Linked DNA regions of Elephas maximus indicus. The protein of the gene in region 2 purifies or fractionates together with the protein of the main gene of each other region. This does not show direct contact. Links are inferred from orthologs where the notes say so. Each region holds a gene or a part of one and is shown on either strand. Other genes may lie near its edges.

Region 1 (7,205 bases), on a different chromosome or scaffold from region 2:
AAAATATTGGTAAACTTTGAAAACTGTGAAACTCACACCCATGGGGGAAAACCTGGGATTAGTGTAAGAATCTAGAGAAGTGACGGCCTGTTGCCTAGGGAGGAAGAGGCACCTCAGAGTATGCAAGCCTTTCCTCAAGTCATTCCCAGTAACTGGGAGATAGTCTCCCAGCGAGACACCCGTGTCCTGCCCTTGGCATTTAAGCTGGCGTCTGCTTTGCCCAGATAAACCGCCCACAGCTAGCCTTGTGCATCCAGCTTTGCACTTCCAGGAGGGTGCTCCACACATCTTGTGCGGGAGGGCTGGATAAGTATAGAGGCGTGAGGGAATGAGCCGGGGGACGAAACACACACGTACGGTACTCCTGGGCGGCATTCGAGCCCAGCCCCAAGACCAAGTCAGAACCCAACATCTGATAGCGACCCTTCACACCAAGATCCTGGAGGCCCTGCCAGACCCGCTCCCAAAAGAGAAAGAGCCAACACGTTAAAAATAAAGTCTTTTTATTGTGTGTTCACAAAAAACCAAGTCAGGCTGCCTTCCGCTAATCCCTCACCCTGAAGGTTATGCTGAACAGGAGGCATGCATGGTGACAACGACAGTATTCTCTGAAGGAGCAGGGTTGTGCCTGCCCAGAGCCCTAAAGGCAGAGAGAAGCAGGCTCTGGGGGAAGGCCTGCTGCCTCCCTGGCAGGATGAGGCAGGGGTCAAAGCACTGATCTGGGCCAGGCCCAGCCCAGCTGGAACACACAGGTTAGCCCCACCCCCCGCCCCCAGCAGAACACTATGGCAGTGGAGCCAGAACTTCTGAGAAGGGCTGGCTCAGAGGCCAGGCCCTCAGGGATCCACCTAGAAGGGGTTGCCATCCTCTGCCTGCATCGAATAGTAAACGAAGACTAGGAAGGCAGCAAAGACCACGAACAGGAGCAACTGGCCCCAGAGAGGGACCTGGCGGTCCTGACTCAGACTGGCTCCCGGGACCTGCTTTTCTGGCCGGATGGCACGGCGGGCGAGCCACGAAGGTGGAGAATATGAAGATGAGGAGGTGGAGGAGGTGGAGGAGGTGGTAGGATAATAGGGTTGGCCCAGGGTACCCCTGGAGATGCTCGAGATGGGGCGGTAGTACGCGATGCTCTGGTAGGCACTGTCCCTGGCATACGAGGGACATTCCCTGAGGCAAAAGAGGGAGCAGGCAGGTAGGCCAGGAGAGCTGGTGACCAGAACCAGCCCTTATCCCTGGCCATCTGTCAGTATAGGCCACGCTCAACGACTTACCTATCCTTGCCCTCCTCTTCGGAAGTGAAAAGATTGTCTTCACGCATCTAAAGAAGAGAGGGGGAGGAGACTGGCTGGCAAGGCTGGCAGGACCCCGTCACCCAAGTCCAAATTCCCCCAGCCAGCCCACTCTGTCCCTCCAGACCCTTCCTAGACTCCTGGCCTTTTGTCCAAGGGGCCTTGCCACTTGCTCAGTGACTGTCCTGGCTGTCTAAGCCCTAGTACCCTCCTTCCTCCCCCAGGACTCTCAGAGTTCCAACCTAGATCCCAGGCCAGGGTGCACCATGGGCTAAAGTGTGCTCCAGTTTCGGGATCCCCTTGCCCAAAGTAGGGCACTGTGTAGCCTACTTCTCCCCGGAGGCCTGTGAGCCCCTGGGAACCTGCAAGGAGCCACCACTTCCACCCAGGAGTCCCAACTGGTTGATCGAAACCCAGATCTGGTCACCTCAGTTTCTACCTGCATCAAAGGTGCCTGGGGTACCTAATGGCCAGCTCACCTGACGGCGAAAACTTTCAGCATCTGAGAGCGAAGCCATGGGCTCCCGAAAGTTCTTGGATGTGCCCACTGACTCAGGCTCCCCATAAGTCCTGGTGTGCAAGTAGCTCTCCTCATAGTAGTCATCATTAGAGCCTTGGGGAGAGGGGTGCAGTGGTGGCAGAGCTGGCATTGCATCTGTCTCCCCCTAACCTGCTCCCATTTCGTGTCTATGACAACCGTATCTCCTCCCCTCTAGGGCTGGTGAGGGGCGGTGGGGGTCGAAGTCTCAGGTTCTCCCCGAAACCAGGCTCTATGACAGAGAAGTTAGGTGGCGGCCCGCCCCTCCTCTACCTGTCTTACCCTTGCTCTGGTATAGTAAGGCATCCTCTTTCTTGGGCAGATCGTACTTATCCGAGTCCTCAGATGTTGAATCCAAATCTGTGCGATCGAGAGAGGGAAACGGGACCGTTTGCCCTTGGACTTCCTCTCCCTTCTGCCAGGTGCCTCCCGCTTGGTGCCCCTGCCACACCCTCGCGACCCCGTCCGCCCTGGTCTCCGGTGGTGGACCGGAGGGGCCCTCACCCGAGAACCCATAGGAGAACGAGGAGGCGGACGAGTTCGGGGGCGAAAGTCTCCGCCTCTGGGTCTCGTACTCGAAGATCTTCTTCTCATAGAGCTTGCGAGTGGAGCCTGGCCAAACACAGAGCGCGTGGCGGCGGATCAGGGCCGCGGGGCCGCGGAAGGTGGCCGCCCGCCCGGCCGCCCGCCCGGCCGCCCGCCCGCGCCGCTGCTCCGCGTACCCACGACGGGTCCGTGCGGGATGTTGTACTGGCGTAGCATGGCGACCAGCTCCGCGTCCGACAGAACCGCGTAGTCGTCCATGGCGCTGCCGGCACGGAGCCCGAGCAGCGGCGAAGGCCTGAGGGCAGGCCGGCCCGGCGACGCTGAGCAAAGGCTGCCTCGGGGCGCGGCGGGGGAGGAGGCTGCGAGGGCGCCTGAGCAGCGGCCGCGCGATCACGTCACGGCCGCGGGCACCGCCGGCGCCGAGAATGCGCGCGCGGCGGGAGAACAGGCCGCCAGAGCGCAGCCGGCGCAGACCGGTCTGGACGTGGAGCTAGGCGGCGCGGGGCTGGGCTGGTGAACCAAGACGTCACAAACGCGCGCGATTGGGCCAGAGGCAGGAGGGGGCGGGGCCCGCACGCCAGTCAAAGCGGCAGAACCGGGCGGGACTTGGTTGCGGAGCGGGGCGGGGCTGGTGAACAATAACGCCAAAAAGGAGCGGGATAGGGCTAGAGGTGGCAGAGGGGCGGGACCTGAGAGTCTGCCGAAGCAGCTCAGACACGTCTGGAAGTGGGAACGGGGAAGGGCTGCGCGCCCCGGAAAGGGGCGGGGCTAGCGAGCAAGGAAGTCGGACGCCGGCGTGTTCGGGCTACGGCATAGGGAGGGGCGGGGCCTAGTGAGCGAGCCTAACCGGCGGAAATCCTCCGGGCGGTGCGAGCCGGGCGGCGCTGGCGAACGACGACGTTATATGCTGGCGTATTCGGTGTCGGTCTAGACGTGACAGAAGGGCGGAGCCTGTACACAAGCCACCCAGCTGAAAAGCCCCCAGGGCCTATAGCGGGGCGGCTGAGCGCCCGGAGAGGGGCGGGGCTGGTGAACAAACACGTTACGCGCTGCCTTGCTCTGACTAGATGTAGAGGGGCGGGCCCTGCGGGCAAGCCGAACCGGCAGAAACCGGCCGAGATGTGGGGGCGGGGCGGGGCGGGGCCGGGGCGTCCGGGAAGAGGTGCACCCCCCGAGTCACGTGGGGCCGAGACGCCTGGATCCCCCGCCCGGATCCCTGCACCCCTTCCCGGTTTCAGGGCCTGGGTGCTCAGTAAGGGCCAGGCTCTCTTCAAGCCCTCTGCGTGGAGAACACGAGGGAGTCACGGCTGGTCGGCGGCCCAGCCCACAGGCCAGCCACCTCCCAGGCCCCTGTCCCCGCTGGCCTGGCGAGTCTGCCGGCCCCTGGCCTCTGCACCTGTGCTGCCCGCTGCCCACCACCCTCTCCCTGCCTTCCCGCCCGCCTGAGGAGGAAATGGGGCACTGGACCAGGAGGGCAGCGGCAGGCGCTCCAGGAATTCCCAGCCAGCCTTGTAAGGGGCCAGGAGTGCCAATGAGCGCTGGCAAAGGACAAGGCGTGATGCGAGTGGGGACAGTGAGCCAGCCCACCGCACCACACCACCCACCTGGGGGACCAGACGGGGAGGAGGGGGAGGTTTGCTCTCCTGGTGGAATGACCCCTGAGCTGAGTGCCCCCCAGGAGGGATGGGGGTAGCCTTCCAGAACCAGAGGGGCCTGCTGGGGGAGGGGAGCCTCAAAGAAGACTTGGCAGGCTGTGAGCACTGGGGTGTGAGCGGCTTTGGGTACTGTGGCACTGCTGTTGTTGTTGTTAGGTGCCGTCGAGTCGGTTCCGACCCATAGCGACCCTATTCACAACAGAACAAAACACTGCCTGGTCCTGCACCATCCTTAAAATCGTTGTTATGCTTGAGCTCATTGTTGCAGCCACTGTGTCAATCCACCTCGTTGAGGGTCTTCCTCTTTTCCGCTGACCCTGTACATTGCCAAGCATGATGTCTTTCTCCAGGGACTCATCCCTCCTGACATGTCCAAAGTATGTAAGACGCAGTCTCACCATCCTTGCCTCTGAGGACCATTTAGGCTGCACTTCTTCCAAGACAGATTTGTTCGTTCTTTTGGCAGTCCATGGTATATTCGATATTCTTCGCCAACACCACAATTCAAAGGCGTCAACTCTTCTTCAGTCTTCCTTATTCACTGTCCAGCTTTCACATGCAGGCACTGCAGGAGTGGCCAAAGGAGACAGAGGCCAGGGCAAACATGGGGGCTGAGCGGAGCAAACCAGGGCAGGCAGTGGATGTAAGGTGGAGTATGGCTAGGAGGAGGCAAGGCTTTGGTAGGAAAAGTGCTGTCTCTTGGAGAGCAGGAAAGAGGTGGTAGTCATGCTCAGACAAAGCCAGTCTCATGGAGTGTGGGGCTGCCTGGTGGGCTCTCCCTGGAGTGGATGAGAGGAGCTAGCCCCAAGTCTCATGTGGGGGGGAGAAGAAAAGAGAGGGGGCTCTGGTCAGCTGGTGCGGGCCGCAGACCAGCTCTCCAGGGAGGTTTGCTCAGGGTGGGGAAGAGGTATACACGTGGGGAGTGGCCAGAGGAGAGACCATGGTTTGACCAAAGACAAAGACCCTTCCGAAGAGTTGCTGTTGCCCAAGTTTTAGAATCAAGGTGGGGCCCTGCTCTGTCTCAACTGTGACAAGTAGCATTGGAGTCCCTGAAGACACTACATTGCCCTATACAGAGGGGAGAGCCATGGGCTGGGCAGGGGAGGAGGTGGCCGTTTGGGCTGTGAGCTGGGCAAAGGCAGCCTCGTGGAATCTTGAGTTTTGGCAAGATCAGATCCCAGCCCCTCTCAGCCTTTCTGCAATGCTGGCCCCTCTCCCAGAGATGCTGGTTCTGGCTTCCCTTACAGCCTGCTCAGTCTTCCCCCGTGCCACCCCTCCCCATACTGATGCAAGCTGTTTCCTTATGAGGTCAAGGAATTCTAGGTTTGCCTTCTCCCCAGGGAACACCACCCCCTTGCACCTGCCTCAGCACTCTGCCTCCTATGTCCCCCCCCCTTTTGTCCTCACTATGAGGTCCCGCCACAGAGGGCACCAGGAAGCTGAACTGTGGATGGTCACCCATGGCCGTGCAGCTCCATCCCAGACCACCAGACACTAGGTCAGGCCTTGACCATCCGAGCTAGGATGCCCTCTGCACCTCCATCACATAGAGTGGGGTCCGGAACCTCGAGTCCAATAGTTCATTCATGAAACATTTCTTCAGCCAGCATCTGGTGCTCCACGGCCCAGCCTCAGAGCTCTCAAGGAGGGAAAACTGTTCCCAGGAGCTGGTCCTGGGAAGGACAGGCAAAGGAGACACTGGAACTGAGCCTTGAAAAAGACAAATTTCTCTGGTGGACAATTGGAAAAGGGATTGCAGACAGAGGTCACAAAAAGCAGCCAGTGCAGCGGGGGTAATGGGCTGTGGAAGCCGCGATTCTAAGGCAAGAATAAGAAAAATGAGTCTCTCCTTTAAGGATGGAGAATGGCTTCTAAACAGTGGATTGTACAACTTGGAATCCCAGCAAGATCAGAAGTTAAAATGGAGAAAAATATATCACCATAAATACATTTCTCAGCATCCATGTACAAGCAAACCATTGATCACTGAGCTACTAAGTTTCTCTTTAAGATAAGGATTTTTTTTTAGTGCTAAAAGACACTTTTCTCTTCAAGGGTATTAAAGCTCCTTTGGGTTTTAACTAGTTTTCAAATGTTTTGAAACATTGCTCCAATGGTTACAAAAGTTGCGAGACAATTGATATGTTGAACACTGTCACAACCAATATTAAAACACTGGTTAGTTGACTAAAGGTCTCTCAAGGAAAGTGTTGTGTTCCAACCTTGGAACAGGTCAGTTTATCTTGGTACTGTTGGGATGACTGGTGGGAGGAATGCAGCTGACTTTGGTAGTTTCCCTGTATCTTCAACCGAAGGACACCTGGTGCTGTACAAACATTTATTCCGCCCAGACCTGAAAGAAGAGACAGAGCTGCTGCATGTGTTTTGTGTGTGTGGTGGGGGAGAGGGGCAGTAGTTGATTTCACACGGAGGTGGCAGTCCCGAACACTGCTAAGAAACCACTGCCTCCTTAGTGCTCCCTCCACCTATTGTACCCCTGGCTTGGAGCGCAGCTGCAGAAAGGCATGTGGTTTCCCTCCTTGATGAACCACGGACCGCCTTGGCTGTGAGCCCCAGCACAGCCCCCTCCTCGGTCTGTGAGTTCCCATCTCCAAGTCCAGGTCCCTCACCTATCATGTGAAGATAACCCACTGCCCTCCCCAGCTGGGGGCGCTCCCACCAGAGGGGGCAGGAGGAGAGGGAACCCCTGGCACTGTTAGAAAGCACCCAGTAAGGGTCAAGGTGTGAAAGGTCTTTGAAAGCAGAGCTAGCCAAGACAGCAAGACCAGTAGGGCCATCAGTGCCTCTTTATCAGTGCTTCCCAAACTGTAAATCAGCAACTTAATTCAGCAGGTGGTGCCTGAACTATTTCGTTCCTTACACCCTCCCTCCCTGTTGTCCGTTTCTTCCCCTCTTCCTGCCATCCTTTTTTCCTTCTATCCTCCCTTCCTTCTTTCCTTCTATCCTTCCTTTCCTCCTTCCCCATTTTCTCCCTTCCTTCCTATCTTTCCCCTTTCCTTCCTCCCCTCCTTCCTTCCTCACTTCTTTCCCTCCTTCCCCCTTCCTCCCTTTTTTCTTTCCGACCTTCCTCCTTCCTTCCCCATTTCTCCCTTCCTTCCTTCCTCCCTCCCTTCTTTTCTCCCTTCCTCCCTTCCTTTCTCCTTTTCTGAGGAA
Region 2 (7,463 bases):
CTCTGTTTTACTTCTTAATTCTTTTTTTCTTTGTTCATTCAACACTGTTTCTTGGACATCTTTCCTTATCAGTATATAGAGAGGGTCTTAGAGTTGCAGGATGTTCACATGTTTAGATTGTAAGCAGTGCAACAGAAAACAAAAAACAAAAATTCTACATACGTCATCACAATTACACAATGTATCTGTAGGATAAATTCCCAGAAAAAGAATTGCTGGAATTTTGATATTACCAAACTGATTTTCAATTTATATGCTTATAAGTAATTCATGAGAGAATCCAGGTCTTAATTTTTAACTGGTTTCCAAGATAACTGCACTTGGCTTTCCTGCATATGAGCCCACATATTTTGGTTGCCTCTCAGCAGGTCTCCGCTCCCACCATTACATTGCTGCCCTTTTATGGCTTGGGGGGGATTGGCCCTGGGCCAGACAGCTCCACTTCACCATTCTCTCCCTGCTGTCTCTCCCAGGGAGGCAACGCCTAACCTGACAGAACTGCTGGCCTGTTTCTCAAACATATGATGCTACATCACACCTCTGAGCTTTTGCCCATACTGTTCCCACCTCCTGTTCTCCCTTCTCAGTCTGGAAAATTCTGATGTGCTCCTTAAGACTCAGCTTAAATGTTGCCTCTGTGGAGGCTTCCGTGTCCCTCCCTGGCGGAGCCAGTCCCTCCCTCCCACAGAACCCCTGACAGCCCTCTACTAAGGCACATCGGTATCACCTGGCAGGGTAACTACTGTTTGTTTACATGGCTCCATCTTGCCCAGCACCAGCCCAGGCTAGGCCCACACCTCAAACTCATCTGTGACTAAAATTAAACTGACCCGAGAGGCAGGGTGGCATGGAAATGCCAGGCGTGGGAGTCAGGCTGGATTGGACTTCCTCCTCTCCTGGTCCCCTGCCTCCCTCACCTCTTCCCTGCTGCCTGTGTTCTGACCATGATGGCCTGCACATTCCCACTTCGTGACCTTTGCAGGAGCTGTTCCAACCACCTGGAAGGCTCTTCCTTTAGCTCTTTCTCATCTTCCAGTTCTCAGCTTAACTATCACGCATCAGAGAGGCCTTCCTTGACCCCTTCCCATTCTATTACTCTCAAGTTATTCCCTTCATCGATTCTCTGCAATCCTGATTATAATGCTGACTTATTGGTTTACTTGTTTGCTACTTGTCTTCTTGGTGAGAACTTACCAAGAAGGTCAGGGACTTCAGCTTGTTCACAAGCCCAGGGCTAACACAGGGCCTGGCATATATCAGGCACAACAGAATTCTTTACGGACTGAATGAGGAATAAACAATGAGGTCCAAATCCCAGCTCTACCACTTACCAGCTATGTGTCCTCCTGAAGGTTTCCTCCTCTGAAAATCAGGCCTTTTAGGGCTGTGGTGTGTACCAGGAATTGTGTAAAATGCCTGATATATGAAGATACCCCACAAATGGTAGCTGTCACCTGTTAAAATTTTCTCTCCTTCAGTGACAAGTGTACCCTTTCTGCCAGGCTTAAAGACCTTACTCTCCATCTTTCACAATCTTTTTTTTTTTTTTTTTATTGAGGTGTAACAAATATAGAGAAAAATAGAAATATCTTAAGTGTATAACATGACCAATTTTCACCAGGACAAGAAGTAGAACATTCCAACATCCAGGGAAGTTCACATGTTCCCCTTCCCCCATCACTCTCCTGCCAGCTGTGACCCCTCACATTCCTTCCCTCCTCTGTTTATCTGAGATCTTGGGGCATCCATTCTTCTTTCAAACCATTACTGACTCCTTCCTTCCTCCCATTTCTCTTTGGAGCCCCCCACACCAGGCCAACTTCTGTCATTTACATCACTGCCTGGTCCCTGTGGTAACTTGAGTTAGCAATCCCTGTTACCAGAACACTGGGATTACTCAAGAGGAGAAGAGAGTAAGTGGCAACCTGCAGACAGCTGGGGTAAAGGTACACTCTGTAGCTTGCTGAACTGCCAGGGCTGAGAGGAATCAACACCAGGTGGGCAGGGGGCAAAGAGGAGGGAGGTAGAGAGTGAGGAGGTAGGTGGTGGGGGAGCTGGAGTCACTCTTCTCCATGACAGGGGTTGGGAGGTCCCTGAGAGCCCACTGAAGTCCGATACGATTTTATCTCTGGACAAACCTTCAAATCATGGTGGTGATAAGGGCTTCAAACCCGGGCTGGGCTAGGAGTAAGACGAAGCTATCTGTGTCTGTGTGTTAGGTGACCTGGCTTAAGCGATTGAATTTTTGTGTCTCCATTCCCTCACCTAAAAAACATAGGCCAGCTATGAGGTCTGAATGCGGCACAGGATCTTCAAGCTTTCTAAACTGTAAAGCGCTGGGCACATACCAGCTGGCGGGGGGGGGGGGGCGCGCGGGGAGGCCACTGAAGGAAGAAATGGCCTGGGGTTAGCAAGTGTAGCCTGGCTGCTCTGTCTCAAGTAATAATACGGATGATGAGGATGATATGATAAGAGATAGCTGTAACAATTACAGCTAACACTTCTAGAATGCTTACTGCCTGCCAGGCACTGTTCCAAGTGTTTTACATCTTAAACTCACTCAATCCTGACAACTCTAAGAGGTGGGTACTATCACCTTTTCTTTACAGACGAGGAAACTGAGGAACTGAGAGGTTAAAGTGACTTGCCCAAGTCACATTAGGAAGTGGCAGAGTCCAAATTTGAACCTAAGCAGTCTGGGTCCACATGAAGTCTCAACCCCCAGGCTCTGTGCTAAGTGCTCTAGTGTTTTATCTCATTTAATCCTACGAGGTGGGTATTATGGTTATATTCCCATTAAAAAAAAAAAAAATTCCTCTTCACTCTCCTGCATATGTTATGCCTTCAGACTTTTCCCTGCATTTATTTTTATGTAGGTCCATATACTCCTGTTATCATCTCATCTCGCTGCATTTTTCTTTACAGAGCACGTATTAGAACCTGAATTTATTTACACTTTGTGTGTGTCCCATCACTAGGCGACAGGTATTTTGATTATTGTTGATTTCCCAATACCCAGAACAGTGTGTGCTACACAATTTAAATAATGAATGTAGCTAATGGTACTAAGTAGCTTTGTGGCTCGTGTTGCATAAATACTGTACATACTCCAATTTTTGAAAAACTGCCTTGGAGGATTTTTTTTTAATAGGTACAGCCTTAACGCCCGCCCCCCCCAAAACAACAAAAAACTTTGCAGTCAAGTTGATTCTGACTCACTACAGAGTAGAGCTGCCCCATAGGGTTTTCAAGGGTGTAATCATTGTTTTTATTAGGTGCCGGTGGAGTCCGTTCCAACTCATAGCGACCCTATCATCTTCACAGGGGCAGATCTTCAGGACTTCTCCAGCCAAACTGCTAGTGGGTTGGAACTGCCCAGCGCCACCAAGGCTCCTTGTAAATACATAGACTTAGCTCATAGTTTTTAACAGATGGGTGACATTCCATACTGTGGATGTGGCGCTGTTTATTTAACCAGTGTTCTATTTAATTAAACCACATTTTCCCAATGTTTTTCTAACCCAAAACCAAAAAGCCAAAACCGTTGCCTAGGAGATAGGGACCTCACAGGACAGAGAACTGCCCCAAAGGGTTTCCAAGGAGCCGCTGGTGGATTCGAACTGCTGACTTTTTGGTTAGCAATAAACGTCCTTGCACATTTCTTTTTGTGCATTATGAGTACATATTTGTACGGAAGTGGAATTGCTGGAAAGGTATATACATTTAAAAATGTGAATAAACGCCCAACCAAATCCGCTGCCACGTCCAGTCCATTCCGACTCATAGCTACCCTATAGAACAAAGTAGAACGGCCCAATAAGGTTTCCAAGGAGCGGCTGGTGGATTCGAACTGCCAACCTTTGGTCAGCAGCCGAGCTCTTAACCACTGCGCCCCCAGGGTTAAAAAAAAAAAAAAAAAACAAGTTGGTAACGTCAAATTGCCGTCCGGTATGTATTCGTGCCAGCGCTGTTAGGGTACACGGCAGGTTTTTATATATCTTGGACCAAACTGGCTATTACCAGTCTTTAAATTTTTTGTCAATCTGATGGGAGGCGGGGGATGAACCCCCAATTTATAGATGAAGAGGGTCTCAGAAAGAGTGGCTTTCCCACACAACCCGTGAGTGGCAAAGTCGTAACTCGGCGTCGGAGGTGTTCGACTACGGAGAGGACGCGCCAAAGCTGGTCACTGTCCTCCGTGCTGTGCATCCTGGGGGACGTCTGGTCACGCCAGGCTGCCAGGAGCTCCCCCGGCCCTCAGACCCGGCCCTCAGACCCGGCCCCGCCTGGCCGCCGCCGCCTAGCCGATAACCCCCCCAAGCCCTCTTCGCAGCCTCCTCAGCTCCGAAATGGCGACCGCCAGGAGCGCGAGGCTACGGCCCTCCCCTAGGAGGCGGGCCCGAGTTCAGACCAGAACGACAGATGCCCGAACCAAGCTCGTAGTCGGCTGCCAGGCGGGCTCGCGCAGAAGCAGAGCCGGTGGCGCAGCAGGCCGGGAGGAGGAGCACCGAGCGCAGGGTTCGCTCGCCGGGGCCGCCCGAGAGTGTCTTCATTGCGGGCGCTGGGGCCGCCATCTTAGATGGCGGGAGTAAGACGAGAGCGAGCGTGAGGCGGGAAGGCTTCCCTGCGGTTTTCCCTGGGCCCCGCAGCGGGCCAGTTGGCGAGGCTTTGGGGTGTGTATCCTAAGGCGCAGAGCGCGAGTGGGACGATGCGGGGACTGCCCGGGGCCCCGTCCCCGGGGTTGGGGACGCGTCGAATGTGACCGCCTCCCGCTCCCTCACTCTCCGCGGGGAGGAGGAGCGGACTGGACGCCGCCGCCGGACGACGGAACGCGGGGTCGGCCTGGCTCCTTCAGGTAGGCGGCGGCGCCGGGTACTGGAAGCCGGGGGAGCGGGGCGGCGGGGCCGAGGGACCGGGTTCCCTGGCGGTTGGGCCTGGGCGGCGCTGACGGAGCGGCCCCGCGGCTGCCCGGGCGGAGGGCCTGGGCCAGGCCGCTGTCACCCCGGGTGGCGCTGGGCGGCAGGGGTGCCCGGGGCCGGGTGTCATGGCCGGCGACCCAAGTTCCCATATCCCCACTCAGATTTCCTTGTGTTTCGGGGAAACGTGCCAGCGCCACCCCTGTGCCCAGTGCACATTCCTCATATTTTGGCAGTGGGAGAATCCGCCCAGAGCTGCCCCGTATCGGTGTTGTCACCCGGATGAGCTAATTCCTTTTTCTTTTCTGGTCGCGGGGTGGGTACCCGGGCCTGCACCTTCTCTCGGGGTCCTTCACCCCAATGTCACTCTTTTAGGGAGGATGAAAGGAATTGAGAAGAAAGGATATGGGTCAGTGCCCCATCACAAAGGCATAGGGGCCTCGCCTTGGGTTTCAGGACTCTGTGGGTTCCTAATGAAAGGTTTAGGATGCTTAGGCTGAGCATGGGCCCCGGGATGCTTCGGAATGAAGATCCAGGGCTGTCTTTTGTGTGAAATAAGAGCCGCTGCCGGGACGCTTCAGCCTTGCAACTGCACAGGCTCTGCAGAGCTAGCTAGTCGGTGCCCCGAGAGAGGAGTTAGGATCCCGAGAGGCGAGGCGCTTGTGTTCGTTCGTTGTTCATTTTCCAGGGTCTGGGTGTGCCCATGGTATTCATTCTCTAGTGGGAAGAATGATGGGGTCTCATATTGTCTCCTTGAGATGTGACCGGGTTCGAGGAGGTCACTTAATCTAGGTAGGGAATGAATTCACACGTTCGCGGAGCTTTTCTGCCTGCCTAGCCCTGTGCAGGGTGAGTGGGGAGAAACGGCCCTCCGTGCGCTCCCAAGACGTGAGAACAACGCCATATGATAAGGATTGGCTTGCCGAGTGCTGTGGGAACTTAGAACACCTAGTTTTACCTAGGGGACCTAAGGAGGAGTGTACGCCAGAGGGGACTTTTGCGCCGAGTTTTGAAGGACTGATGAGTAAGTGCTCACTAGGTGAGGAGGAGGGGAAGGGCATTCCTAGCGGAGAGAACTCCTGATAGGAAAGGAGGCATGCAGGAATTGGGATGAGTTTGGGGAGCAAGCAAATAGTTTGGGGTGCAGGGAAATAGTGAGAGAAGAGAGTCCAGAAGAAAAGTTGCTAGATTGTTAAGGGTCTTTCTTTGTTTGAACACAGTGGTGAATTAGTTGGTTTAATTTGGATTCTTCTGAATAAAAAATAGGTGTTGCTAATTTTTTATTCTTACTGATACCTAATCATTTTTCTCCTCTTTTTTTTTGAACGTTTTATTGTGTTTTAGGTGAAAGTTTACATAGCAAATTAGTGTTCCATTCAACAGTTCACAAATTGTTCCGTCGCATTGGTTGCTACCCCTGCAACGTATCAGCACTTTCTCCATTTCCACTCTGCCTTCCCTGTTTGCCTCTGTCCACTTTCCCTGCCCCTCCTTGCCTTCTCAGCTTTGTTTTTTGGGCAGATGTTGCTCATATAGTTGATTGTTCTAAGGAACACGTTCCTCACAGGTGTTGCTGTTTATTTTATAGGCCAATTTATTATTGGGCTGAAAAGTGACCTCTGGGAGTGGCTTCATTTCCAGGTTAAAAGGGTGTCTTAGGGCGATAGTCAGGGGGTTCCTCCAGTCCCTGTCAGTCTAGTAAGTCTTTTTTTTTTTTTTTATGAATTTGGATTTTGTTCTACATTTTCTCCAACTCTAACCGGGTTCTCCTATTGTGTCCCTGGTCAGAGTGTTTGGTAGTGGTAACCGGCACCATCTAATTCTTCTAGTTTTAGGCTAGAGGAGACTGGTTTGTGTGGGCCATTAGTCCTGTGGACTCATTGCTTCCTTGAGTCTTTGGTTTCCTTCACCCTCCTTTGCTCCACACAGGAAGAGACCAGTAGTTGTGTCCTTAGACAGCCGCTCAAAATCCTTTAAGACCCCAGATGCTACTTACCAAACTAGGATTTAGAACATTATTTTTATGGACTATGTTATGCCAATTGATCTAGATGTCCCCTGAGACTGTGGTCCTTAGCCTCCAAACCCAGTAACTCAGTCCCATGAGGTGTTTGGGTATGTCTAAGAAGTTTCCATAACTGTGTCCCATATATGTATGCTCTATTATATATATATGAGTATATATGCAGAACATACAAATATGTATATACAAATGCCCACAACTATACCTATATATGCACTTGCATATACTCGTATACGGCCACCTGTACCTATATAGCATACATGTCTACCTATGCAACCAAAAAAAAAAAAAAAACCCAGTGCCATTGATTCGATTCCAACTCATAGCGACCCATAGGACAGAGTAGAACTGTCTCCTAGAGTTTCCGAGGAGCGCCTAGTGGATTCAAACTGCTCACCAATTCGGTTAGCAGCCGTAGCACTTAACCATTCTGCCACCAGGGTTTCCTACCTATGTAACCACTCGCAAATTTTTGGTTGTTATTACTGTTGCAGAGTTTCGTTACAGCATTTACCTGGGTAGTC
Region 3 (7,655 bases), on a different chromosome or scaffold from region 2:
TGGAACTCACTTGACGGCAATGGGTTTGGTTTTTTGGTTTTGTATCTATACATCCTAATTAAACTATTTTGTGACAAGACAGCTGAATACATAAAAGTGCAACATTTAAAGCAGAAAAAAGGCTTTGGGTGACTGATATTATTACTCAGGCTTCATTAGCAACCCAGTACAAACTTTACATTTTTCAGGCTACGAAGTGAAAAACCTTTCTGATAGGAAAAATGTTCTAGAAATTCAGGGACCAAAATCCTTTCGGATGATGAAATATAATACATAATTAATTACTATGGGAAGACTGCAAAATGAAGGGACAAGAGCTTTGGTTTCTAGTCGTAATTTTGCTGTGTGTGTGCAACATGCATGATGTCCTTGAAAATTTGGTGTCATTTTAGCTCAACCTCTCTTCAGTGCCAAATGTCTAAAAATAATTTTAAGCTCCTCGGTGAAAAGACCTATCTACTACGATCACTCCAGCTGGAAGTAATCTCTAACTATCCCTCTAAACTTTTAAAAAACTTGTTTGTACCACTCCATAACAATGACCCCAACCAAACCCACTGCCATTTAGTTGATTCCGATTCATAGCAACCCGATAGGACAGAGTAGAACTGCCCCATAGAGTTTCCCAGGCTGTGATCTTTATGGAAGCGCACTGCCACATTTTTCTTCCAAGGAATGGCTGGTGGGTTCACTCTGCCGACCTATTGGTTAGCACCCCAGCACTTTAATCACTGCACCACGAGGGCTTCTTATAATGATTATAGGCTGCTTTAAGTAGTCTCCTTTGCTCCCTTATAGTTCTACATTTTTGGAAAGCAGAGATCTCAGCTAAGGTAAATTAATATCCCTCTGCAGCCCTGGTGGTGAAGTGGTTAAGAGCAAGGCTGCTAACCAAAAGGTCAGCAGTTCGAATCCACCAACTACTCCTTGGAAACCCTATGGGGCAGTTCTACTTGTCCTATGGGGTCACTAAGAGCTGGAATCAACTCGACAGCAACAGGTTTTTAACAGGACAGTCCCTAATACAGTGTCTTACACTTTTTAGAGACCAATATATTTTACTGGATTGACTGAACAGTACTTGGCAGCAATGTGGTTCCTGCCTGCCTCTGCTCCCCACCCCCAATTCCTCTCACCGGATCTGGCTACCAGCCAGCAATAGGCAAAAGTGTTATTTCAGCTGTTTAGACTCTAAAACAAAAACTACAGCATCAACAACAACCATATTTAAGAGTTCACACAGAGAGGATCTAGGAAGCATCTTCAATTCTGTCCAACACCCCTGGCACACCCACGTTACAGGAAATCTGTGTTAATGCCAACGTACTGATCTCCTAAAGTAGTGCAATGTATATAGAGTGCCATCAGTAGTTCTCTTGAAACACCCTTGGATGAACGGAGGCAAACGATGATTACCCTCAGAGTGATAAGGAGTTGGTTTCAAAGCTATTTAGTACCATCCATTCAGGCATTCGCAATACCTCTTCGTGACCTCATGCTTCTCCCCATCTCAGAGCCCCAGCTGTGATTCTCAGAAGAACCCTATTAGAGATCCCTGAATCCGTAAAACCTGAGATTGTTGTCACGTGCCTTCAAATCAATTTCGACTCATATCGACCCCACATGACAGAGCAGAACTGCCCCTACAGGGTTCTAGGCTGTAATTTTTATGAGAGCAGATAGCCAGGTCCTTCTCCAGAAGAGCCGCTGGGTGGATTCAAACCTTTCAGTTCGCAGCCTAGCGATTAATTCGATAGGCCTGGGCAAACTCATCCTCTCCAGACACCAATACAATTCAAGGGTTGTCTGTGGACCCGCACTTGGTCTATATAGCATAAATTCTTCAGCAATGGTTATCGTCCAGTAGTTGATTAACAAAATCAGGTCAAACATGCATTTGTTTTGTGTCAAGTATGGCAAAGAATAATTTACCAGAGATTTCAAGGTCCTCCAGCTACAAGCTGAATGAACTATTAGAACAAAAACAAATTAGGACCGACCTTTACTGTTTCTCGTTGATTTTGGGGTCCATGTTAGGAAATGAAGGCAATTCAATTCACAAAGACACTATTCTCCGACTTTAGACACACAGCATTCAGACCAAAGGCTCAAAGTTTTAGCAGGAGATCCAGGGTGCTTTCGCCTTGATGCAAATCACTTTAACCATGCCCGCTGTAGAGAATTAAGTTTACTTCTGAACACAACCTGCCAAAAGTCAGAGCTAGGGTCTGGGGTTAAAAGCCACAAAAACAAAGTAAAAGGTTTTTTACCCAAATACAGTTTTAAAACAATTTTCTATTGCATGTTTTCTCTGCAGCCAAAACGTGAAAACTCAAAACGTTCGGCTTTTCTTTGAAATGATAGAGAAATTTCTTGGCATATCACATAGCGTCTTCATTCGTTCTTTTTTCTCTCGTTTCTACACCCTTAAAGTCGGCAATCACGACTTTCTTGGCAGATGCACCCTCCTCTGGAGATGTGGGCTTGGGGAGGGGCTGGCGGACGCAAGCAGGCCCCTGAGCGGGAGGTGCAGGGAGCTGTGTAGACTCACAGCACCCGAATGCCCTCCGACCTTCCCGAGGCAGACAAGAGTGACGCTCTAGTCCGAGGGACTCGGGGAGTGGCGGGGCCCAGGGGCGGAGGTCGAGGCCAGCCAGGCATAAAACGGCCCTGCCGGACGCAAAGCCGGGAGCCGACGCTGGACAGGACCCGGCCCTCTGCCCAGAGCGCGCGGGAAGGCGAGGGCGGCCTCCAAACTGGGCTGCTCGCCCAGGGCCCGGCGCCCCTACGCTACCAGAAACACAAGCCCCGAAACGGGGACGCCCCGGCCCGCCAGGAGCGAGGCCCGGAGACACAAGGAAAGCTAAAACGGCCGCGGAGGCGGCGCAGGGGCTGAGCTCACCGTTCTCACCGCTCCCCGGCTCCCGCCGCCCCGCTGCAGTGGCCGCAGTTCACCCGCCGGCTCGGCTCACGCGCGCAAGCACAGCCCGACCGGAAGTGACTCCACGCCCCGCCCCCATCCGCCTCGCCGGCGGCCTCCCGGCTAATCAACAACAGACTCGCCGCTGACGCAGAGCTTCTCCGGGCAGCCATTGGTCGCACAATCGCGTAGCCGGGATTGGCTGGGAAGCGCCACGTCCCCGGGAGCGCGCCGGGCTGCGTGGACGGGATTCCCGCCCAACTCTGGTCCCGGGGCCTGTAGGGTGGCAGGGCCTATCCGCTGCTCCGGTGGCGTGTGGGCGCGGTCGTCCAGCCGCCACGTCCCCACTGACAGCGCCTGACTGGGCCTCCACGGGGCTTCTCGGATTACCGTCTCGTTATCTGCCTGCTCGAAGCACTCAAGGCGCTAGTCGTCCGATCGCATCAGCCCCCAACCGTCTCGAAGATCCCAGTTTCTCTTTTTCCAGCACTACTGGTTCTAGTCTCTTTCCGCTTTATCCCTACCGCTCTCCCTCTCATATCTCGCGCTCTGGCCACCATCATCTCGCGTTCCGTAACAGCCTGCTCGGTCATGTGTCGCTGGTCTTTATCCATCAAGCCGCTTCCTTCGCTTAAATAAGTGCGTTTTCCCGGTTCTCTGCCTTAAGAAATCCAGCAGCATACAACGTGTTCGGATGGTAGCTTCAGAAAGCTTTCCTGATCCACTTTAAAACAAAACAAACAAAACCGTGCCCATGGAGCTGATTTTGACTCATAGAACCCGGTCGGACAGAGTAGAACTGCCTCACAGGGTTTCCAAGGCCCTTTGTAGCGGCTGATGGGTTAGAACCCCCGACCTTTTAGCTAGTAGCTGATGCTTTAACTACAGGTATCCTTTCTTGACACCCAAGGGATAATAGAGTGGGTTTGGTTTTGGGGGGTTTTATTTGCCGCCATACCACTTTGTATTTCTATCTTCAGTTAAAAAACAAAAAAAAACCCATTGCTATCCAGTGGATCCTGACTCATAGCGACCCTACAGGACAGAGTAGAACTGGGGGGGTTCCAGAGAGAAGCTGGACGAACTGCGTGCCACCAGGGCTCCTATTTTCAGTGCACCTTGCCAAATTTTGTTATAAACACTGCTTATACATTCGTCTCCCTCTAGACTAAGTTCCGGAATGGAGATCTACTTTATTCGTCTTTGTATCCATGGCTCTGAGCTTACTGCCCAGTTCAAGGTAAATGCTCAATAATGTCAAGTGAACTGAGTGGGTGGAACCCAGAAGGTTGCATGCCCCTAATTAAAGAGAAACACTGGAAATTATTCACTTATTCGTTCATTTTCATTTCATGAAATGAAAACAAATAGTTATAATGAGGTAATATTCACAACACAAATGAAATATAAATCTGTGTTCTTAGCACATAAAGCACAGAGTTTAAATTTCAGTTGAGGAGACAAGTTGTATGCTTATGAAAGAATTAAATACAAAGCAAGTTAGTTCACGTAAAAAAAAAAAAGTTTACTTTTGAGTGCCAAGATGAGAGGTTGACAACTAATGCTACAGGAATTCATACAAAGGAGTGACTGTAAACCTCAGTGGTAGCCAGACAGGGCTTGGGGCTTCATAAGAAGATGTGACTCAGGCTGGACTAAGAAAATCCCAAATGGAATGTGCAGAAAGAGGAATAATAGGAACAAGGGCAAGCAGGGGGCAGGTGGTAAGTAAATTCTCAGGTGGGATAGGGCATGAGGGAGGTGAGAGAAAGGGTCTGGGAAGGGAAAGCACAGGAGGTAGGTCTCCATAGGGAATGGACAATCACTCTAAGGAGCCTGAACTGAAGGCAGGGGGAATCCTGGATCTTCCTCTGAAGGTTTCTAAGCTCGTGTCTATGTGGGAGGTGGGATGAGATTGAAAGTGGTTCTTTCAGGCAGGCACATCTCCTAATAGGGATTAACTGTAGGAACAGGCTGTTTCAGGAAGTATTATTTCAACAAATGTCTTCTTGAAGTCAGGCGCTGTGCTAGGTGTTGTTGAACTCACAATGAAGAGGACGTGGTCTCTGCCCTCAAGGAACTGCAGCCTAGTGGGAGGGCCACTCATCCTGGAAGGATCCTGATAGAGGCTGGATGAGGAAATAGGATTTTGTCAGAGATGGGGCCCTCCAACCCTGAGATTCTGTGTGGATAAGGGCCTGACTCCGGCAGGGCAAGGGACGTGCAAATAAACAGTTGTATGCAAGATGATTTTTAAAAGTGAAAATAAGTCCTGGACTTAGTGACTGCTTGGATGAAGAAATGAAGAGAGAGCACTCGAAAACTAAAAGTTTTAATCCTGGGATACTGGGAGAATGAGCCGGATGATTGGAAGATGAGGGAAATGATGAGTTAAGACTAGGGTGATGGCAGAGCATCTACAGAGAAAGAGCCAATAGGCTGGAGGGTATTCTGGAACTTAGGAGGGGGGTCATTGGTCAGGGGGCAGCTGATGGAACCCTGAGATCAGATGAGCATTCTGAGAAGAGAAAATCAGATTAGGCTTCATAGGAGCCCCAGAGTTAGAAGGCAGGCGGAGGGGGAACAGGACTTGAGGGGTGACACACATAAGAAATACCACCATTGGGCTGCACCCAAGGCTTACCTGGCCCTGGCTTCTGTCTCTGAGGGAAGCACGAAGGGACTGTTGGTGGCAGGTATGACGGTGGCAGTCTCAAAAGGCTGATGTTCTTCTTCAAGTGTCCCAACTCTGCTCATATGGTGCTACTGAACATTCACGCCACAAATGAGTGCGTTGCGCATTTCCTATGTGCCAGAAATTTCTAGGCACTGAGGATACAGCAGTGAACAAAATGGATAAAACTGTCTCGTGGTGCTTGTATTCTGGTTGTAGGGATAGCAGAGACAGCCAATAAAGAAGATAAAACATTAAAATATATTGCTGAGTGGAATAAACCAGTCTGAAAAAGGTACGTATTGTATGATTTCAACTGTATGACATTTTGGAAAAGGCAAAACTGTAGCGTGAAAAGATCAATGGTTTCCAAACAATAGTCTAATTTAACTAATGAAAAATGTCTATCGTGAGCATTATCCTCTTTCAAGATCTATCTGTATGGAATCAAAGTGACAACAGCAACTTGAAAGATCAGATAGGAATCTTAGGGAGCAGTGAGTTTACGTTAATGAGGGAGGAACAACTCAGAAAGGGAGGGTGAAAGGTTGTACAGCTCGAAGATTGTCACTGAATTTTATATGTAGAAACAGTTGAATTGGTGTATGTTTTGCTTACTATGTTCTTAACAAAAAAAAAAAAAAACAATGTTTTCCAGGGGCTTGTGGTGGGGAGGGATGAACAGGTGGAGCATAGGGGATTTTTAGGGCAGTGAGACAATTCTCATAGTCTCATTCGATTCCGACTCATAGCGACCCTATGAGTCAGAGTCGACTCGACGGCACTGGGTTTGGGAGACAATTCTGCATGTTACTGTGACAGCGAGTATTACGCCTTTGTGAAAACTCATAGAACCACACAACACAAAATAAACCCTAATGTAAGCTACAAACTTTAGTTAATGATAATGTATCCCTATCTATTCATCAGTTGTAACAAATGTACCGCAGGAATGCAGGATGTTAAGAGGAGAAGCTCTGCAGGAGGAGGGGATATTTGGGAACACTTATCCTTTCTGTATAATTTTTCTCTAAATCTAAAACTGCTCTAAACATAAAGTCTATTATAAAAAAGCAAAATATATAGAATGAGAAGTGGTTATAGGTGCAAAGGGGTGAAATAAGGCAAGGAAAGAGAGCAGGGAGTGTCGGGAATTCAACAGCGGTGTTGACATTTTGAGAAAGAGTGGCCGGGGAAGGCTCATGAAGAAGGCGACACGTGCATGAACATCTGAAGATGGTGAATAACATTTCAGGAAAAGGGAACAGGAAGGGCAAAGGCCTGAGCTGGGCGCCTGCTTGGGGTGCTTGAGGAACAGCAGGAAGCCAGGTGGCTGGAGTGCAGTAACGGAGAAGAGTAGAGGACATGAGGTCAGGGAGGTAGTATCAGGGGAAGATACTGGTATCAGTGGAGTGCCTTTAGGCCATTTTAAGAATTTTGGATTTTACTATGAGTGAGATGGTATGAGGGAGACTTACCTTTTTCTTCTTCCTCCGGGACACACAGCTAGACTACATTTCCCAGCCTCCCTTGCAGTTAGGTGTGGCCATGTGACTGAGCTCTGGCCAAAGGAAGGAGGGCAGAACAAATACTGCTTCCAGCCTTGGCCATATGAGATGCCACACACAATTTTCCAAGCTCTTTCCTTTTTTGTGGCAACCTGGAAGCCATGTATTTTAGTTATCTAGTGCTGCTATAACAGAAATATTGCAAGTGGATGGTTTTAACAAACAGAAGTTTATTCTCTCACAGTTTAGGAGGTTAGAAGTCCAAATTCAGGGCGCCAGCTCTAGGGGAAGGCTCTCTCTCTGTCAGTTCTGGGGGAAGGTCCTTGTTATCAATCTTTCCCTGGTCTAGGAGCAGTGGTTAACACCTTGGCTGCAAACCAAAAAGTTGGCAGTTCAAATCCACTAGCCCCTCGTTGGAAACCCTATGGGGCAGTTCTATTCTGTCCTTTAGGGTCGCTGTGAGTGGGAATCAACTCAGTGGCAATGGGTTTGGTTTTTTGTTTTATTTTAAGCAAGGTATGGGGGGAGCCCTGGTAGCACAGTGGTTAAAGCA
Region 4 (7,259 bases), on a different chromosome or scaffold from region 2:
CTTTTAACTTTTTCCAGTGGCAACCTTTTGGTTATCGATGTACCTAGAAGTCTGTAAATTAGATTAAATTTCTCTTCTGGAAACACACCGGGGCAGGCAGCCAGCGTGCGTGTTTCTCTTGGGTGGACAGGCTGGCTTTGGCTGCCAGCCAGGGCTGGGATTGGCCTGGGCTTCCTACTGACCACCAAGCCAACCAGGCCCAGTTGGGGACGAGCCGAGTTGCCCAGCTGGCAGCCCTCAACACCCTGGGTAGTGGGAGTCTCTGGCTGGCTGGGGGGTGACTCATGTGAGCAGAGGAGATGCTACCCAGGGCTCCAGGAGGCTGGTCTGTGCAGGGAGCCAGGGCTGGGAAGCAACTGAGGCTGGGAGGGCTTTCTAAGGGCAGGAGCTGTCCAGCAAGGGAGTGGGGGCCTATGGAGGGAGGGAGGAGCAGGAAGCAGCCAGAAGCATTCCATGGGGGGCCAGCAGGAAGGACCTGACCTGGAGACAGGTGACTTCTCTGAAGATACATGCATCCTGAGCCCTGGTGACATGAGGGAAAGAAAGGGGAGCACTGACTCCCTTGCGATGTTATTTACATGCTTGTGCTGCAGATGTTTGTTGAACATTTCTGAGATTTCAAGAGACCTCGTTAGCTGCTCCTTGTTGATCACATGCTGTTTTTAACCTCACCACTGTCGCTAAGTCCCTGGATGTTGCCGATGGTTTGTGCTGAACTCGAAACCTAAAGGTTGGTTCAAACCCACCAATCAGTGCCACGGAAGAAATGCCTGGAGATCTGTTACCACTAAGATTACAGCCAAGAAAACCCTATGGAGCAGTTCTCTGTAACATTTGGACTCACCGTGAGTCAGAATTGACTCCACATCAACCAACAACAATCCCTCCTACAGTCAGCTATTGGAGATGTCTGTTGTTGGCTACCTTCAAGTCACCCATGACTCCTGGGAACCCCATGCACAAAGAAATGAAGCACTGCCTGGTCCTGCAGCACTTCCATGATGGGTTGCAGTTTGGATCATGGTGATCCACAGGGTTTTCAATGGCTGATTTCCTAAAGTTGATTGCCAGGCCTTTATTCCTAGTCTGTCTTAGGAAGCTCTGCTGAAATCTGTTCAGTATCATAGCAACACGCAAGCCTCCACTGATGGATGCTTGGTGGCTGCGTATGAGGTGCATTGGTCAGGAATCCAACCCGGGTCTCCTGCGTGGAAGGTGAGGAGTCTACCATTGATCCACCAATCCCCTGGAGATGGCTGACTGCAGTGTTACCTGTTTGTGTCCTGCCTGACTCTACTGGATTTTTTTATTCGAAAGAGCTGAATACAGTCCTTGCCATAGAGGGATCTTTTCCTAAAACATTTCTGAACACATCCCTTCTCTGCTTAAGCAATACTATTCTCTCTCTCAATGGTCTATGAGGGCCGTGGGTGTTAAATCAATAACAGATGGGGTGAAATGAGGGCCGGGGCAGCCAGTGCTGTGAGTGACGCTCTAGGACCCAGGAGAGGTGCTCTAAGCCTTAGTTTTGGAGACCAGGTAAGCATCCCTTAGGGGTGACACGGAGGGGAACCCCAAAGCTGGAGTACACGTCAGTCAGAGTGTTGTGTGCTGCTTCTGTGGTTTCTCACTTAACGCATCAAAACCTTGCCCCACATGGCCGCAAGTCCTGTCTGCCTAAGCCCCAATTTGAGGGGAGGATTTTTTTTTTTTGTCAAAATATTACAAAACATGCCATCTCGACCATTTCTACGTGTTATACTGATTGCATTCTGCAAGTTGTGCCAGTGTTCTTGCTATGCTTTTCCAAATCACTCCACCACCATGAACATAAACCCAATGTCCCCTAAGCAAAAATTCTCCCTTTGTCCCTTCCCCTGGTAACCAATAATAATCTTCGGTTTCTATATATTTTTTATGTAAGTGAGATCACACAGTATTTTTCCTTTTGCAACTGATTTAGCATGATGTTTTCAAGGCTCATCATCTATGTTGTGGCGTGCATCAGGACTTCTGTATGGCTGAGTAATATTCCATTGTGTGTGTACACCGCATTGTGTTAATCCATTTAACTGTCGATGGACATTTGGGTTGTTTCCACCTTTTGGCTGTTGTGAAAAGTGCTGCGATGAACATTGGTGTATGGGGAGTTGCTTTTTTAAAAAGATTTTATCATGGAGAATTCCAGTCATACAAAAGTAGCGAGAACAGTAAAATAAATCTGCATCTACTCATCGATTTTCAACTCATGACCAATCTCTTCAGCTATATCCCCTCCCTCCCCAACCCTGTTCCCCTTCTCTGTCCCCTCCTTTCCCCCCTGAATTATGGTGGAGCACATCCTGACCACCAGATCAATTAATTTGCTAATGTGAGTGTTTCAGTATGTTTCTTTAAGGTATATGGATTCCAAAACAATGCCATTATTACAGTTAAAAGTCCCTGGGTGGTGCAGACAGCGAGCAAACTCAGCTGCTAACAGAAAGGTTGAATGTTCAAGGCCACCCAGCGGGTTCCTCAGAAGAAAAGCCTTCTGAAAAGTCAGCCATTGGAAACACTGTGGAGCACATTTATACTCTGACACACATGGGGCTGCCGTGAGTCAGAGATGACAGTAACTGATTTTTTATTACACCTAAAAAATTGATGACAATCCTTAACTTCAAAAAGTAGGTCGGCAACAGGACACTTTAAAAAAAAAAAAAAAAAAACGTTTTAAGTGAAGCACAGCAAAAAGCATACAGGTCCTAACTCTACAGCTGGATGCATTTTCACAAACACACACACACACACTACGTGTTTGCCTTCTTGTCTGTCAAATTGACTCTTAGAAATTATTAGATGTCCCTGGCAGTGGTTTCAACACTTTCAGAGAGAGTGTTGAGGACAAGGCAGGCACCTGGCTGCACTATTGCAGAATCACTAAAGTCCAGAGTGAACCATGAGGGCTTTAGAGGCAAAGTTCCACCTTTAACAGTCAAGTATCAAGGGCCTTGAGCAAGGCATGAATTCTAAGATCCAGTTTTCTTATCTTTTAAATGGGGAATAAAAATAGCTCCTGGAGGGTTTGGAGGGAGTAGATGAGATGATGAACAATACAATTAATGTTTATTACATATAATATGCATGTGTACTATGTTATAGTGGTTGTAGTTGCCCTTGAGCCGATTCCGACTCGTGGTGACCCCATGTGTGTATGGCGACCCCACGTGTGCGGAGTAGAACTACTCCATAGAATTTCCAAGGCCGTGACCTTTCAGAAGCAGATCGCCAGTCCTGTCTTCTGAGGTGCCTCTGGGTGAGTTTGAACAATCAATCTTTCGGCTAGTAAACCAAAACAAACCAAGCTCATTGCCTTGGAGTCGATTCCAACTCAGAGCGACCCTATAGGACAGAGTAGAACTGCCCCATATGGCTTCCTAGGAGCAGCTGGTGGGTCTGAATTCGAACTACCCACTTTTTGGTTAGCAGCCGGGTTCTTAACCATTGCCCCACCAGGGCCCCTTTAGATCAGTAGTGGAGCTTAAGCGCTGTTTGTGCCCCCCAGGGACTCTATATATACTGTGTAACTATACAAATAAGTAAAGATTAATTACAAAATGCAACATTTGATGCACCAGGCCTTGTACTGATTTTATTGCCGTTTTTCAAGTGTACGATTTAGTGACATCAATTACATTAATCATGTTGTACAACGTGAACTGATTTCTTTATACATGATCACATTTAACGTTTGATCGTGGATCCAGCGCCGTGGCTGGCGCTTAGTCGTAATTTTTCCCATTCCTGCACGGCTTCACCATGTTCATTCCTGAGCTGAAGTTCAGATACCCAGGTTTGCACATCATATACGGTCGCTATGAGTCATAATTGACTCACTGGCAACGGTTTTTTTTTTTTTTTTAATGGGTGGCAGAGCAAGGGACCTGAGCTGTTCCTGCACGGGAACCCCGGCTCCCTCTGGCGGGCCTCTAGGGCACAATCGCGCGTCCTGCTCGGCCAAGCTTGGGCCTTCGGCCTTTCCGTAGCCAACAGCTTCGCCCCCGTCGAGCCCCACAGGAACCTACCTCTACCCCTGCCACCCCATCTAGACCAATCACCGCAGGGGTAGAACGACGGAGGGGCGGGAGTAGGGCGGGGCTCTCTGGATTGGCCTCATCTTCAGCCCCTGGCAGGACGACACTCCGAGATAGACAGGGCGATTCTCCAATAGATGTGAAGTCCGAAGCAGGCGCACACCAATGCGGTCCGGAGGCGGGGCTCGGCTGTGGGTAAAAGGGGCTCGGGGGACTGTGGCCACTATCGCGGCGTCGGGCTCGCGGAGCAGCTGTCGAGGAGCCGGGCGTAGTGTTCGCCGGCGCCATGAGCTACACAGGTACATCCCTGCGGGGCGGCGCCGGGCCCCAGATGGGAGCGGCAGGGGAATGTGGCGGGGCCACGCCGGGTTCTCCCGTGCTTCCCCGGCCAGGTCACTGTCCGTTCTGCGGCCACAAAATGGCGCCGCGAGTCCGTCGCCTCAGGTCGCGCCCGGTACGCCTCGGCCCCTTGGTTCTCTGTGCTCCCAGCCTCGCGTCCCGGGCACTGGCCGCCTGAGGCCACGGCTCCTGCAGTCATGTCCGGGGGCCCCCGGTCCTCGGCTCCTGAGGTTCCTCTCCCACCAGCCCCAGCCGCCTCGGCGCCTTAGGTCGCCGCTTCTCAGGCCTCGGGCCTTAAAACCAGTGAGCAGTCCCGTCCGCTGTCGCCATTGTCGGGCTCTCCTCCGCGTTGTATCCCCGCAAAATGCCTCAGCGCACCGCCCCCCCACCCCCCATTGCGTGTTTAGGGGCTGGGAGAGGTGCCAGGCCCTGGAGGAAAAAATGAATACCTGAAAGGTTTGAGCTGGGACGGAGCCCTCGGGCCGGGCCAAAGCCTTGTGGGGGAGGAAGGGTTGGCTGCCACAACGATATATTCAGCATCTGTTAAATTTGCTGTGTTTGTGCTTAATACTCGTTGCTTTCGAGTAGATGCCGACTTATGGCGACCCCATGTGTTTCAATAGAATTGCTCCATAGGCTTTTCAGTGGATGTGTGACCTTTCAGAAGCAGATTACCAGGCCTTTCTTTCAAGGCGCCTCTGGGTAGGTTTGAACCACCAACATTTTTGGTTAGTTAGAGAAGGGCTTAACCGTTTGGGCCACTCAGGTTGTTCCAAAGAACAAAAAACAGTTGTTGAGTGTACCCTGACACGTGGTGACCTCATTCACGTGTACAGAGTAGAACTGCTTCATGGGGTTTTTAATGGCTAATTTTTCAGAAACAGATCGCCAGGACTTTCTTCTGATGTGCCTCTGGGTGGACTTGAGCAGCCAGCCTTTTGGCTAATAGTCGATTGTTTACTCATTTCCATCACTTGGAAATCTATTGGTGTCACATAGGCACTGAGAATGTGGACAAAAATCTACCCAGCAGCTGATAGGCGAGGGGCAGATCTCAGTAGGCGAAACTATTCATCTGGGGGAGGACAGTCCATGGGAAGGCTAGAGACATTTGTGGAGAGGTGATATGTGGAGAGGGGGCATGAGACTGTCTGGCCCAGGGAGCTGTTGGTGGAGAAGCACGGGCAGAAGTGTGCTCGGCGTGTTTGATGCTCAGCCAAGGAACCAGTGGCATTGGAACAAAGAAGGGGGTGGGTGAGACTCTCTGCAGGGGGCCACAGGATATGCTTGAGTGATTGCAAAACTCTAGGTGATGCCCAGAGGCCTCTTGAGTGTGCCTTGGCAGCGACAGATGCAGCTTCTTACCCAGGAGCCGTAGATGGGGGTGTCAAAAGCTTGAGTGTGCGTGGTTGCTGGGTAACCTGCATTCTACTCAGCAAGAGCAGAGCTGAGAAGGGGCCCGGGCCTCCAGAGCGCCACTGCAGGCTGCTTCATGCTGACCTAGGCAGAAAGGCTGATGGTTTGAGTCCACCTAGAGGTTCCTCAGAAGAAAGTCCTGGTGGTCTGCTTCCAAAACACCAGCCGTTGAGAGCTCTGTGGAGACAGTTATACTCTGACACACATGGGGTCGCTATGAACAGGGGTTGACTCCATAGCAACTGGTTGGGCAAAAAGGCAGTGCCAGTCCTTCCGCTGTGGCTCCCAGATCAGGAGTTTGGCAAGATCCCTAATTTTTCTAGCAACCGTCCCCTAGTCCAGTAGTTCTCAACCAGGGGTGCTACTGCCCCTGGGGACATTTTGCAATGTCTGGATACATTTTTGAGTGTCACCACTGGGGGTGGATACTCTACTGGCATCTAGTGGGTAGGGGCCAGAAGAAGAAAAAAAAAAAAAAAAACTAGTTGCTATCAAGTTTACTCTGACCCAGGGTGACCCCTTGTGTGTCAGAGTAGATCTGTATTCCATAATGTTTTCAATGGCTGATGCTACAGAAGTAGGTCGCCAGGTTTTTCTTCTGGGTAGATTTGAACCGCCAATCTTTCAGTTAGTAGCTGAGCACTTAACTGTTTGTACCACCCGGGGATAGCCAGGAATGCTACTAAATGTCCAGCACTACATAGGACAGCTTCCCATGGCAATGCCAGTAGAGTCGAGCATTTCTTGTCGCTTATAATTCTCTTGACCAAGTTTTCCTGAGAACGGAAGCCAGTTCTGTGGTTTTTACGGGCAGGATTGCTGAAGAAACCCAAGATGAGTGGTTAGGTGCTGTGGAGTAGCTACTTATTTTTATAGGAGAGGGATCTTGGCTATAGAGGGCCAGCAATTTCTGACTGAGGTCTTATTGCCACTAATGACCAAGCCTGAATTTCATCTCCACATCTCATAGGCTGTAATTCTAGCTTTGGGTGGGCACTTGGGTACTAAAACCAAAAACCCATTGCCGTTGAGTCCATTCCGACTCGTAGTGACCCCATAGGACAGAGTACTAAGGAAAAAATGATTAGTTTTTCCTTGATTTTGGCAAACTAAAAGCCATGGTAGCTTTATAATGTCTTTCCCTTTTAAGAAGCAGACTACAAAAGTCAAAGGCATTTTAAAGTCATGTTCCAGACAATATTTGCCTTTAAGGATAACTTTTGGCGGCCCTGAGGCAAATGTTACCATTATTAAGCATAGACGATGATTCAAATTTATCTTTGTGTTAACTCTTGCTTTTTGAACTCAGTTACTTTGTTTATGTTTGGTGCACTAAGCAAGGGGCACAGTGGGTACATCCCACCTTCACTGCTAACTGCTTAGTAAGGGCCAGCATGAATTCAATTCCCAAAGCTTAGAAATGGATCC

What was found.
Region 1: the proteins of RAF1 (region 2) and EMD purify together in Homo sapiens (affinity purification with mass spectrometry; 3 studies listed by BioGRID and IntAct, with this or other methods). This does not show direct contact. The link is inferred for Elephas maximus indicus from reciprocal best matches to the Homo sapiens genes RAF1 and EMD.
Region 3: the proteins of RAF1 (region 2) and CALU purify together in Homo sapiens (affinity purification with mass spectrometry; 3 studies listed by BioGRID and IntAct, with this or other methods). This does not show direct contact. The link is inferred for Elephas maximus indicus from reciprocal best matches to the Homo sapiens genes RAF1 and CALU.
Region 4: the proteins of RAF1 (region 2) and AKAP8L purify together in Homo sapiens (affinity purification with mass spectrometry; 3 studies listed by BioGRID and IntAct, with this or other methods). This does not show direct contact. The link is inferred for Elephas maximus indicus from reciprocal best matches to the Homo sapiens genes RAF1 and AKAP8L.

The regions. Positions count from the first base shown.
Region 1 is NC_064846.1:2,095,828-2,103,032, reverse strand, and holds EMD (emerin), read right to left. Parts: upstream 2,872-7,205; 5' UTR 2,635-2,871; coding exon 2,553-2,634; intron 2,443-2,552; coding exon 2,335-2,442; intron 2,191-2,334; coding exon 2,113-2,190; intron 1,906-2,112; coding exon 1,772-1,905; intron 1,322-1,771; coding exon 1,275-1,321; intron 1,171-1,274; coding exon 849-1,170; 3' UTR 509-848; downstream 1-508. UniProt on the Homo sapiens protein: Stabilizes and promotes the formation of a nuclear actin cortical network. Stimulates actin polymerization in vitro by binding and stabilizing the pointed end of growing filaments. Inhibits beta-catenin activity by preventing its accumulation in the nucleus.
Region 2 is NC_064838.1:37,863,421-37,870,883, reverse strand, and holds the start of RAF1 (RAF proto-oncogene serine/threonine-protein kinase), read left to right. Parts: upstream 1-4,447; 5' UTR 4,448-4,855; intron 4,856-7,463. UniProt on the Homo sapiens protein: Serine/threonine-protein kinase that acts as a regulatory link between the membrane-associated Ras GTPases and the MAPK/ERK cascade, and this critical regulatory link functions as a switch determining cell fate decisions including proliferation, differentiation, apoptosis, survival and oncogenic transformation.
Region 3 is NC_064826.1:21,326,235-21,333,889, forward strand, and holds the start of CALU (calumenin), read right to left. Parts: upstream 3,012-7,655; 5' UTR 2,903-3,011; intron 2,886-2,902; exon of another isoform or gene 2,001-2,885; intron 1-2,000. UniProt on the Homo sapiens protein: Involved in regulation of vitamin K-dependent carboxylation of multiple N-terminal glutamate residues. Seems to inhibit gamma-carboxylase GGCX. Binds 7 calcium ions with a low affinity.
Region 4 is NC_064821.1:35,594,071-35,601,329, reverse strand, and holds the start of AKAP8L (A-kinase anchor protein 8-like), read left to right. Parts: upstream 1-4,256; 5' UTR 4,257-4,362; coding exon 4,363-4,375; intron 4,376-7,259. UniProt on the Homo sapiens protein: Could play a role in constitutive transport element (CTE)-mediated gene expression by association with DHX9. Increases CTE-dependent nuclear unspliced mRNA export.